Sus scrofa: one gene and its partner. The main gene of each other region encodes a partner of the protein of the gene in region 2 in a complex. Links are inferred from orthologs where the notes say so. Each region holds a gene or a part of one and is shown on either strand. Other genes may lie near its edges.

Region 1 (3,646 bases), on a different chromosome or scaffold from region 2:
CAGAAAAATCCTGATGGGATCCTTTTGGCAGAAGGTGAAAGGCCCTGGCTCCCAGGCCCCACCAGCCTCCTCTCTCCACAGAAAGACTTGCTGGACTCCTTCAGTTTCTTTCCAGAACATTCCCTCCTCCTTCCTCTGCTCCTGCTATAACCAAAGCCTGGACACCCTCCCCACTCAACCTTTACCTGCCTTTTTCCTCCTGAGCCCTCAGGTCTCACCTCTGGAAGCCACCTTGAACCCTCCAGCCAGGTCAGGAGCCGCAGCGTTGAGCGCTGCCGTATGGCATTTATTACTCTGTATTTTCATTTACTTCCACACCTGTCTCCTCGAAGACTGGGAGTCCCTCCAGGGCCAGACCCAGGTCTTATTTATCCCCTGAACCCAGAGCAGGGGCCCAAAGGCACCTAGGGAGGGTCTGAGGACTGAGAAAACAATCTTCTGAAACAAAGCTCCCGTCCCAGGCTTGCTCTGACCTCTGCAGGAAGCCAGGGCTCTTCTGAGCCTGGGTTCCCCATCTGGGCAAGGGCTCCTATGGCCCTGTCCTACCCACTCTGAGCCTCTTTCCTCATCCACACAACCCCTGGCAGAGTTGGCATGAGGGTAAAATGAAGTCAGACCTATTGGTGAAGCTGGGCCCGGTGGTGGCAGTGACATGGCTGCCCTACACACGGGTGCCTGTCCCAGTGGCCTTACCCGCAGGCAGCTGTACATGCAGATGGACATCCAGTTGGTCAGCATTTTCTCGACCACAGACTCTGTGCGCCGCAGCATGAGCTTGGGGTTCTTGGCAGCAGAGGCATCGATGAGGTCCACCAGCAGCTCCTTCATGATGCCCGTGTAGTACTCGAGCTTACCGTGCAGTGCGATGGTCAGCAGGGACGCCAGGCTGCACCTGCGGGCAGATGCAGGGGCATCTGCACCAGCCGCACCGGGAGGCCCTGGGATCTGAGGACCACATGGTGGGGTGGTCCACCTTGTCACTGGACACAGACAGGTAAGTGAGGCTGAAGTAAGGGCTACCTCTCCTAACACGCACCATGACCACTGTGACCACGAGTCCTGTCCTGGGCACCCAGGATCAGGAAGGGGAAGCACAGGGGGGCGTCTCAGGACATCTGGAGTCCTAGGACCCAGGGCCTGATGCTGGGGACATGACTGCTGCCCAGGGGACATGGGGATTTGCAAACCGCCCAGGCAGACCTAGGAGTGGTGCCCTGCCCCCTCCGCCAGGCCCTGCCCCTTCCCCGAAGCCTGAAGGCTGACCTGTCCCGCACTGCAAAGTCCTTCTGTTGCTCCAGCGCATGGACAAAGACGATGAGGAAGTGCTTGTTGTTGAGCAGCGAGGAGAATAGGCTGATGCCCTCTTCCATGTTGGGCCGGCAGCTCTCAGGGATCTGCAGGGGTGCGTGGTCCACAGGGGTCCCGTGTCACTGCCTGGCCTAGCTGTCAGCACTCATGATCCCCAGAATGGCTCTGTGAAGGCCTCCTGGGATGGGGAACTCATCACCTTTCACAGGTAAGTCACTGGGAATGATGGCTCAGTTGACTTCAAAAGTGGGGCTCAGCAGGGGTAAGGGTGCAGAAGGCAGCCCAGTGTCCCTGTGTGGGGGACCCTCTCACCTTCCATTCTCGAAGCAGCAGATGGAGGGGGACATCTAAGGGGACTCAATCCCACCCCCCACGACCTGGCCTAGAGGTCAGCACTCAGGTACCCTGAATGGCCACTTGAATACCTTCTGGGATGGAGAGCTCACTACCTCACAACAGCAGGTTCCTCCCCACTCCCCAGGATTAGGACCAATGGATCCAATGAGCTGGAAACTGGGGAAGCCCCATGTGTGCGTGCGGGGTTGGGGTACTCACCTTCCACTCTCCCAGCAGTGGGTGCGTCTCCGGCACCGTGGAGCTGCCCTGGGAGTTGAGGGTCTGGGATGGCAGCACATAACGCTCTTCATAGAGGGAGGAGCACTGTGGAGGCAGATGCCCAGCAGCTCAGCAGGGCTGCACGCTCCCATGACTCCTCCAGGGGCTGCTTAACACATGCAAGAGCCCAGTTTATAAAGAAGAGAGGCCGTGGGCCACGCTCAGGGGCCACAGGATGCCAGGGGAGGAAGAGGAGCAGAATCAGCACGAGGCAGTATGTGGCAAAGCTGGAGCATATGAGGCTCAAAAGGAAGCAAAGCAGCTCAGGGTAGAAGGAGGGAAACCGAGGCAGAAAGGGCTGCAGGGACACTACACGGGCTCTCTGGCTGCTGCGTGCAGAAGGGTGTCGACAGGGCCAGAGGAGGTGCTGGTTACAGGCCCAAATACCCTCAACAGGCCAGGGAAGGTGGGGGCAGGGCAGGGATGGGGCAGAGTCCAGAACACAGGAGGGGAGGCGGAGCCCCAGGGGCCCAGAGGTTAGAGGGTGTCAGTGAGCCGGGGCCTCTGTTCCTCTGCTCAGTAAGAGGCAGGCCCAGCTCTGCAGGGGGAAAGCGGGCTTGTGTACGGACAGTTAAACATCAAGGGAGCAGAGAAGGAAAGCGGGGAGAAACCGGGCCTGCTGGCCAGGCAGCGCAGCGCAGGCGCCCGCGGCTGGGCGGGTATGTTTTGCACTGCTCAGTGGCCCATGATGCACCTGCCAAATTCTCCCACAGGGGATGAAAGTGACCTCTGGGTTCTTGGGGCCCAGGGATGGGTTGAGGAGCCCCAGAGGGAACTGGCACAGGCGCAAACTGACCTTGGGGAAGAAGGTGCGGGTTACAAAGTGCTTGTACTCCAGGAAGGGGATGCCCTGGCTGCGGTTCAGCTCCTTGGTCAGGTCTGTCATGTCTGTCTGCAGCTCAGCGAAGCCTGGAGGACAGGCAGGTGGCCGTGAGTAGACCAGCAGAGGAAGCAGAGGCCCGAGGTCCCACGTGGTCCCTGCCTGCTACCTTTCCGGATCTCCTCTCGGATCTGGGACTCCATCTCTTCCATCTGCAGCAGCGTCTTCTGCCAGTAGCGCTCGGCACGGCGGCTCTTGGTGCAGAAGACGAACAGGGCTGTGGGCAGCGGAGGGATGGTCAGGCCCTGAGGGGCCTTGGGAGAGTGTGCGGTGGTGCCCAGCGTGTGTGGGGCCTGACCTGAAGGGAAGATCCTGCCTGCTGCTGTCCCCACCCCAGAGTGGGCTGAAAGCTACAGGCCAAGGGCTTGGGAAATGGCCAGGAATAGGAGGCTCCCATGTCCTATTCTTACAATAAAAAATGAGTGTGTGTTTAAGCCCCTGGTAAAAAGTAGATTTCCCAGGATGACAGAAGCACGGCTGCTTTCTGCTTTCTGTTCTCTTTCTGCTTCTGAGGATTTTCAATTCTTTCTACTCTGGCCAGGCCTCACTTGTGAATGAAGAACTTTTTAAAAGATGACAAAACAGTACTGTATTTTAATCCCTTTCTGGGATATAATATAGATGTATGTGTGTGTATGTATATATACATACATATACACACACACACATATATATAATGTATGTTTTCCCAGAGAGTTTTCTACCACACTTGTACCACTTTAATTCTTTTAATTCCTACCATCGGTGCAGGAGGCTGAGGTTCCTCTCTTCACTGAATACATTACTTTTATAACCATTACTTTAAGAGCAGCATAGCTGCCTAAGATGAAAGTGAACCTTCCC
Region 2 (4,116 bases):
TTGTATTTTATTCAAAGCACTTATTACCCTCTGCAAGTATCTTCTTGTTAAACTGTTTGTTGCCTGTTTTCCCCCCTTTCGAATGGCAACTCCCCATAAGCATGGATTTTTGTCTTGTTCACTATTATATCCTCTGTGCCAGGAACAGTACTTGGCACATAGTAGGTGCTCAATAAATATGTGTAGAATGAATGAATGTGTCTTAAACCCTTCATTCTGATTTCTCTGGAGCCCCTCTATCCCCAGAACATGCCCACTGTAGAGTTGCTAGCTGCCACCTCCTCACCATGTTCCTAGTCTCCCCTCAAACCTTAACACAGGGACAGAGGAAAAGGAGTTTAAGCCCAGGGCATTGAGCACATTCGCTGGAATCCCAGCATCCCCACCCTCTTTTCTCTGGGAAGGGCATGAAACTCAACAAGCCATAGTTATACAGAGTTGCAGTGAGGGGAGCAGGAAGTGGGGAAGGGGGTTCCTGGGAGCTCATACAAGCTGTAGGGGGTGGTGGGGAAACACCACACCCAGGCTCCCCTTTTCAGCAGGGTATTGCTTGGGAGAGGAAGCCGGGAGGCCTCTGATTCAGTCTTGAAAAACCGGCTCCTGGGTGTTTCCGGGGAGAACGCCTACTGTCCTGGGCCCAGGCTTCCCAGGAGGGCCTAGCAGGCACAGGACCCCACCGTGCTGCCTCCCCCACCCCCATCTACCTCTCCTTCAGATGTCACTTTCTTCTCAAGACCCTGATATTTTGTCCTTGCCTTTTCCAGTTTAGGGGAGAAGGGACATGAGGGCAGCTTCCTGTTTGAGCAGCTGGTGAAAGCAAAGACCAGCGGGTGTGGCCCAGATGGCATGTCTGGTTGGAGGGGGTAGAGTGGGAGGAGCTGGTCAGAAACACCTGAGCCTTGGAACCACTGGGCATCTAGTCTAGTGGTTGAGACTCCTGTTCTGGACTCTAAGGCATGGGTTTGAGTCCCAGATTTGCCACTCACTAGCTGTGTGATCTTGGGCAAGTCACTCTAGCTCTCTGGGTCTACCGCTTCAGCTCCGAAAGAAGCAACAGCACCTTCCATGAGGTGTTTAGATTCAATGGTAAATATGGCATGGTAAATAGCTGACACGGAAGTGCTCAATAAATGCTAGCCGGGTTATTTATTTTCATTATTTTTATCGGGACCTCGGTCCTCCCCAAGCCTCCTTAGGCCCAGGAAGATTGAGAAAGGCCAGCTGTGGAGAGTTGCCCAGGCAGGGCTCAGAAATACCGATCCCGCTCCTGTCCCCTCTGGGACGGGAACTGTCCAGAGTGCAGGGAGGTGGGATGCGGCTGGAGAGCCCATCCCGGCGGCGGGAGGCATTTACTCCTTCCTCCGGCAGGAAGGCAGGCGGCCCGCTGGGGAGGGGCCTCCGGCACCCCCTGGCTTAGTCTAGACCTCCAGCCTCGTTCCATAGGGCCGGCCCTACCTCGTAGGACCTGCCAGATCCCCGTGGATCTGCGATCCCACGGATCCGCGCTAGGGTCCCTCGAGCCGCCGCGATGCGCACCGCCCGCAGGGGACACTCACCTGCATTGCCGCCTCCCAGCGCGCGCCCTGCTTGGCCCTCGGCAAACTCTGGCCCGGGCCTCTCCAGCAGCACAGCCAGGGGGCGGGGCCTGTGCCCGCGTCCGGCCAATCAGGAGCGGCCGCTCGGCGTTCGCGGCCAATCGGCTCCACGCCCCCCGCTCCGGGTGGAACCGAAGGAAACATTCCAGAGGGATCCCTGAGCCTCGCCCGGCTCTTCACGACACCTCCCCCGCGCCACGGAGCATTGGATCTTCCCGCCCCTCCTAAGCCGCGGCGGGCTGTACCACCGCAAGGCTGCGGAGGGGGGAGCTGCGGCTGGGCCCCGGCCAATCTCAGAGAAGGAAGGAGGCCAGTGGCCAATGGAAAGCTGGGACTCCTGGACCACGTGCTGTTCGCTGAGTGTCCGGGTGGGGTGCTGTGGCTGGTAAGAAGCTGGGGGCTAGTCTTGGGAGTCAGGAGACCGAGACTGAGTTTCGCAGAGAGGATGAAAACTGCCGAAGTCCAGAAAACGGACCCGCTAGGAAATCCGGGAGGGAGCCAAGGGCAGCTTCAGATCCAGTCCTCCGCCCGGCCTGCCCCTGCCCCTGCGTGGCCATCCTCGGGGTGGATAAAAACACGCATTCATTCCGAGCGGGCAGGCGGGAGACTGAGATGAATAGGGAGGGTCCCGAGTGTCCCTGCATCTTGGATGGACAATGGACAAGGGCATTCATTCATTCATCCACTTATCAAATATTTAATGTGCCCCTGGTCCGTGCCAGTCTCTGTCCTATCTCTACAGACACACTGATGAGTAAGCTGAAAGAATGTGCTCCTGGTAGAAGGAACAGCGCGTGCAAAGACTTAGAGGGCGGACAGAAAGATACAGCACGCTTTAGGAGAGTACAGTACTGTAGGAGCTAGCAAAGCAGGGTGAAAGGGCAAGATGCCCTGTTCGCTCGTTGGTTGACCAGCGAATATTTATTGAGCACATACTATGTGCTGGATTACAAAGGGATACCCAGCCAACCCAAGCCTCTGTCCTCAGTTTCTTACATCTGACTGTTCTCCGCCTCCCTACCCCCACCTCCAGCCCCAGACTGGCACAGAGCAGGGTCTCCGTACATATGTGTAGGTAAAAGAACTGGGTAATCTCACCATCTCCAGGTTTGGCTTGTAACCAGGATTTCTCAGGCAGGAGCAGGTCCAAGAAACAAAGATACCAACACAACTTGCCCAGGCCAGGAAGCTCAGTTCCCAGGACAGGTGAGATTCCCTTGTTCCAGGAACAAGCCAGCCACTCAGGCAGCTGGGGCTGGACCGTAGTTCACTGTGTGTTCTGGGAATTGTAGTTCTTGGAGACCTAACTTCTCAACCCTCATTGAACGATTGGCTCTTTGCAGTTCCCTGGATGAGATGCTGAGCGTTCCAGCCCTGCTAGGGCCTGCAGAAGGACAAAGTAAAAAGGGAGCTTGAGCCCTGGACTTAGCTGCTGAGGTCTGCCCAGGCAGCCCCACCCAGCTGGCAAATACCGAGACTGCAGAGGCAACAGGGACAGCTAATGTCCTTCTCTTCCTGTTCTGCTGACCTCTGCCACGCCCACTGAGCGATCAGTTGCCTCTGGCTAGGCCTGTGCCCTCTCTGGGACTGTGTCCACTGCCCTGCTTATGCCTGGCATCTAAGCTGCTTCCTAAACACCTGGAGAGGACAGTATGTGGGCTGTGGGCACAGCAGAGTCCTGAGCGGAATCCACATGATTCTACCTGTTGATGAAGAAGTGCCCAGGGAGGGGTGAGGGCAGGGGCACAGAGCAACACGGGGCATCTCCTTCCTACTTTGTGGGACTTCAAAGTTTCTCCAAGGAAATAAAATTCAAAAAGCCTCCAGCCAAGATAAGAATTACCAAACCCTTATCATCCCACCTGTCTCACTGTAACTGTTACAATGTTCGTAAGGACCTCCCCACCCCAGCAACTTGGCCTACTTCTTGCTCCCTACTAGGAAAGGTATGTGGCCCACTCCTCACCTCTTCCCCTTGATCAACCTGGCCTACTCCTTCCTGCCCCCCACTAGAAAAGGTATGTAGCCCACTCCTTACCCCACCCCTTTAGGGGCAACATATGGCCCCAAACTACCAGCAGGTGTATCCAAAGACCCTGTCTTTCCCCAACCAACCAGCAAGTGTATCAGAAGACCTCATTCTTCTCCAACCAATCACTAGGTCCTCAGGTGTATGGCAAGACCGCTTCTTTGTCTTTGGGCTATAAAAACAGACACAACCATGCCCCCAGGGTCTGCTCTCCCTGAATATCAGGAAGTCGACCTGATGTGTTAACAGTGTCTCTTGCTTCAATATACTTGTCTTTTCTACACCTTGCTTTAAATTTAGAAAATTACTTTTCCACCCACGTGCAGAGACCACAACATACTTGATTTTATAGCTCAAGAAGCTAGGAGGCTCAGTGGGTGAGGAGGTCAGATTTGAGTGCTACCTCTGCCCCTTTTAGGGGGTGGGGGTGGGGAAATAATTCTGGAATGCCAACTAAGACATGAAAAAGCAAATGCTGTGTTTGAAAAAAAT

What was found. Proteins that work in one complex are often made in the same cells at the same time.
Region 1: the proteins of GIPC1 (region 2) and PLXND1 are in contact, whole or in part, in a crystal structure (PDB 5V6T), measured with the Mus musculus proteins. The link is inferred for Sus scrofa from reciprocal best matches to the Homo sapiens genes GIPC1 and PLXND1. Residues at the interface, in NP_061241.1 of Mus musculus: His61, Glu141, Ala142, Leu143, Gly144, Leu145, Thr146, Ile147, Thr148, Asp149, Asn150, Gly151, Phe156, Lys158, Arg159, Arg190, His191, Tyr192, Glu193, Ala195, Arg196, Leu198, Lys199; in NP_080652.2 of Mus musculus: Glu1400, Met1889, Glu1893, Arg1899, Gln1902, Gln1904, His1905, Glu1908, Ile1918, Tyr1919, Cys1921, Tyr1922, Ser1923, Glu1924, Ala1925.

What each region holds. Positions count from the first base shown.
Region 1 is NC_010455.5:68,955,001-68,958,646, forward strand, and holds part of PLXND1 (plexin-D1), read right to left. Parts: intron 3,021-3,646; coding exon 2,913-3,020; intron 2,833-2,912; coding exon 2,720-2,832; intron 1,969-2,719; coding exon 1,864-1,968; intron 1,395-1,863; coding exon 1,264-1,394; intron 893-1,263; coding exon 694-892; intron 1-693. UniProt on the Homo sapiens protein: Cell surface receptor for SEMA4A and for class 3 semaphorins, such as SEMA3A, SEMA3C and SEMA3E. Plays an important role in cell-cell signaling, and in regulating the migration of a wide spectrum of cell types.
Region 2 is NC_010444.4:64,779,135-64,783,250, reverse strand, and holds the start of GIPC1 (PDZ domain-containing protein GIPC1), read right to left. Parts: upstream 2,805-4,116; 5' UTR 2,694-2,804; intron 1,653-2,693; exon of another isoform or gene 1,557-1,652; intron 1-1,556. UniProt on the Homo sapiens protein: May be involved in G protein-linked signaling.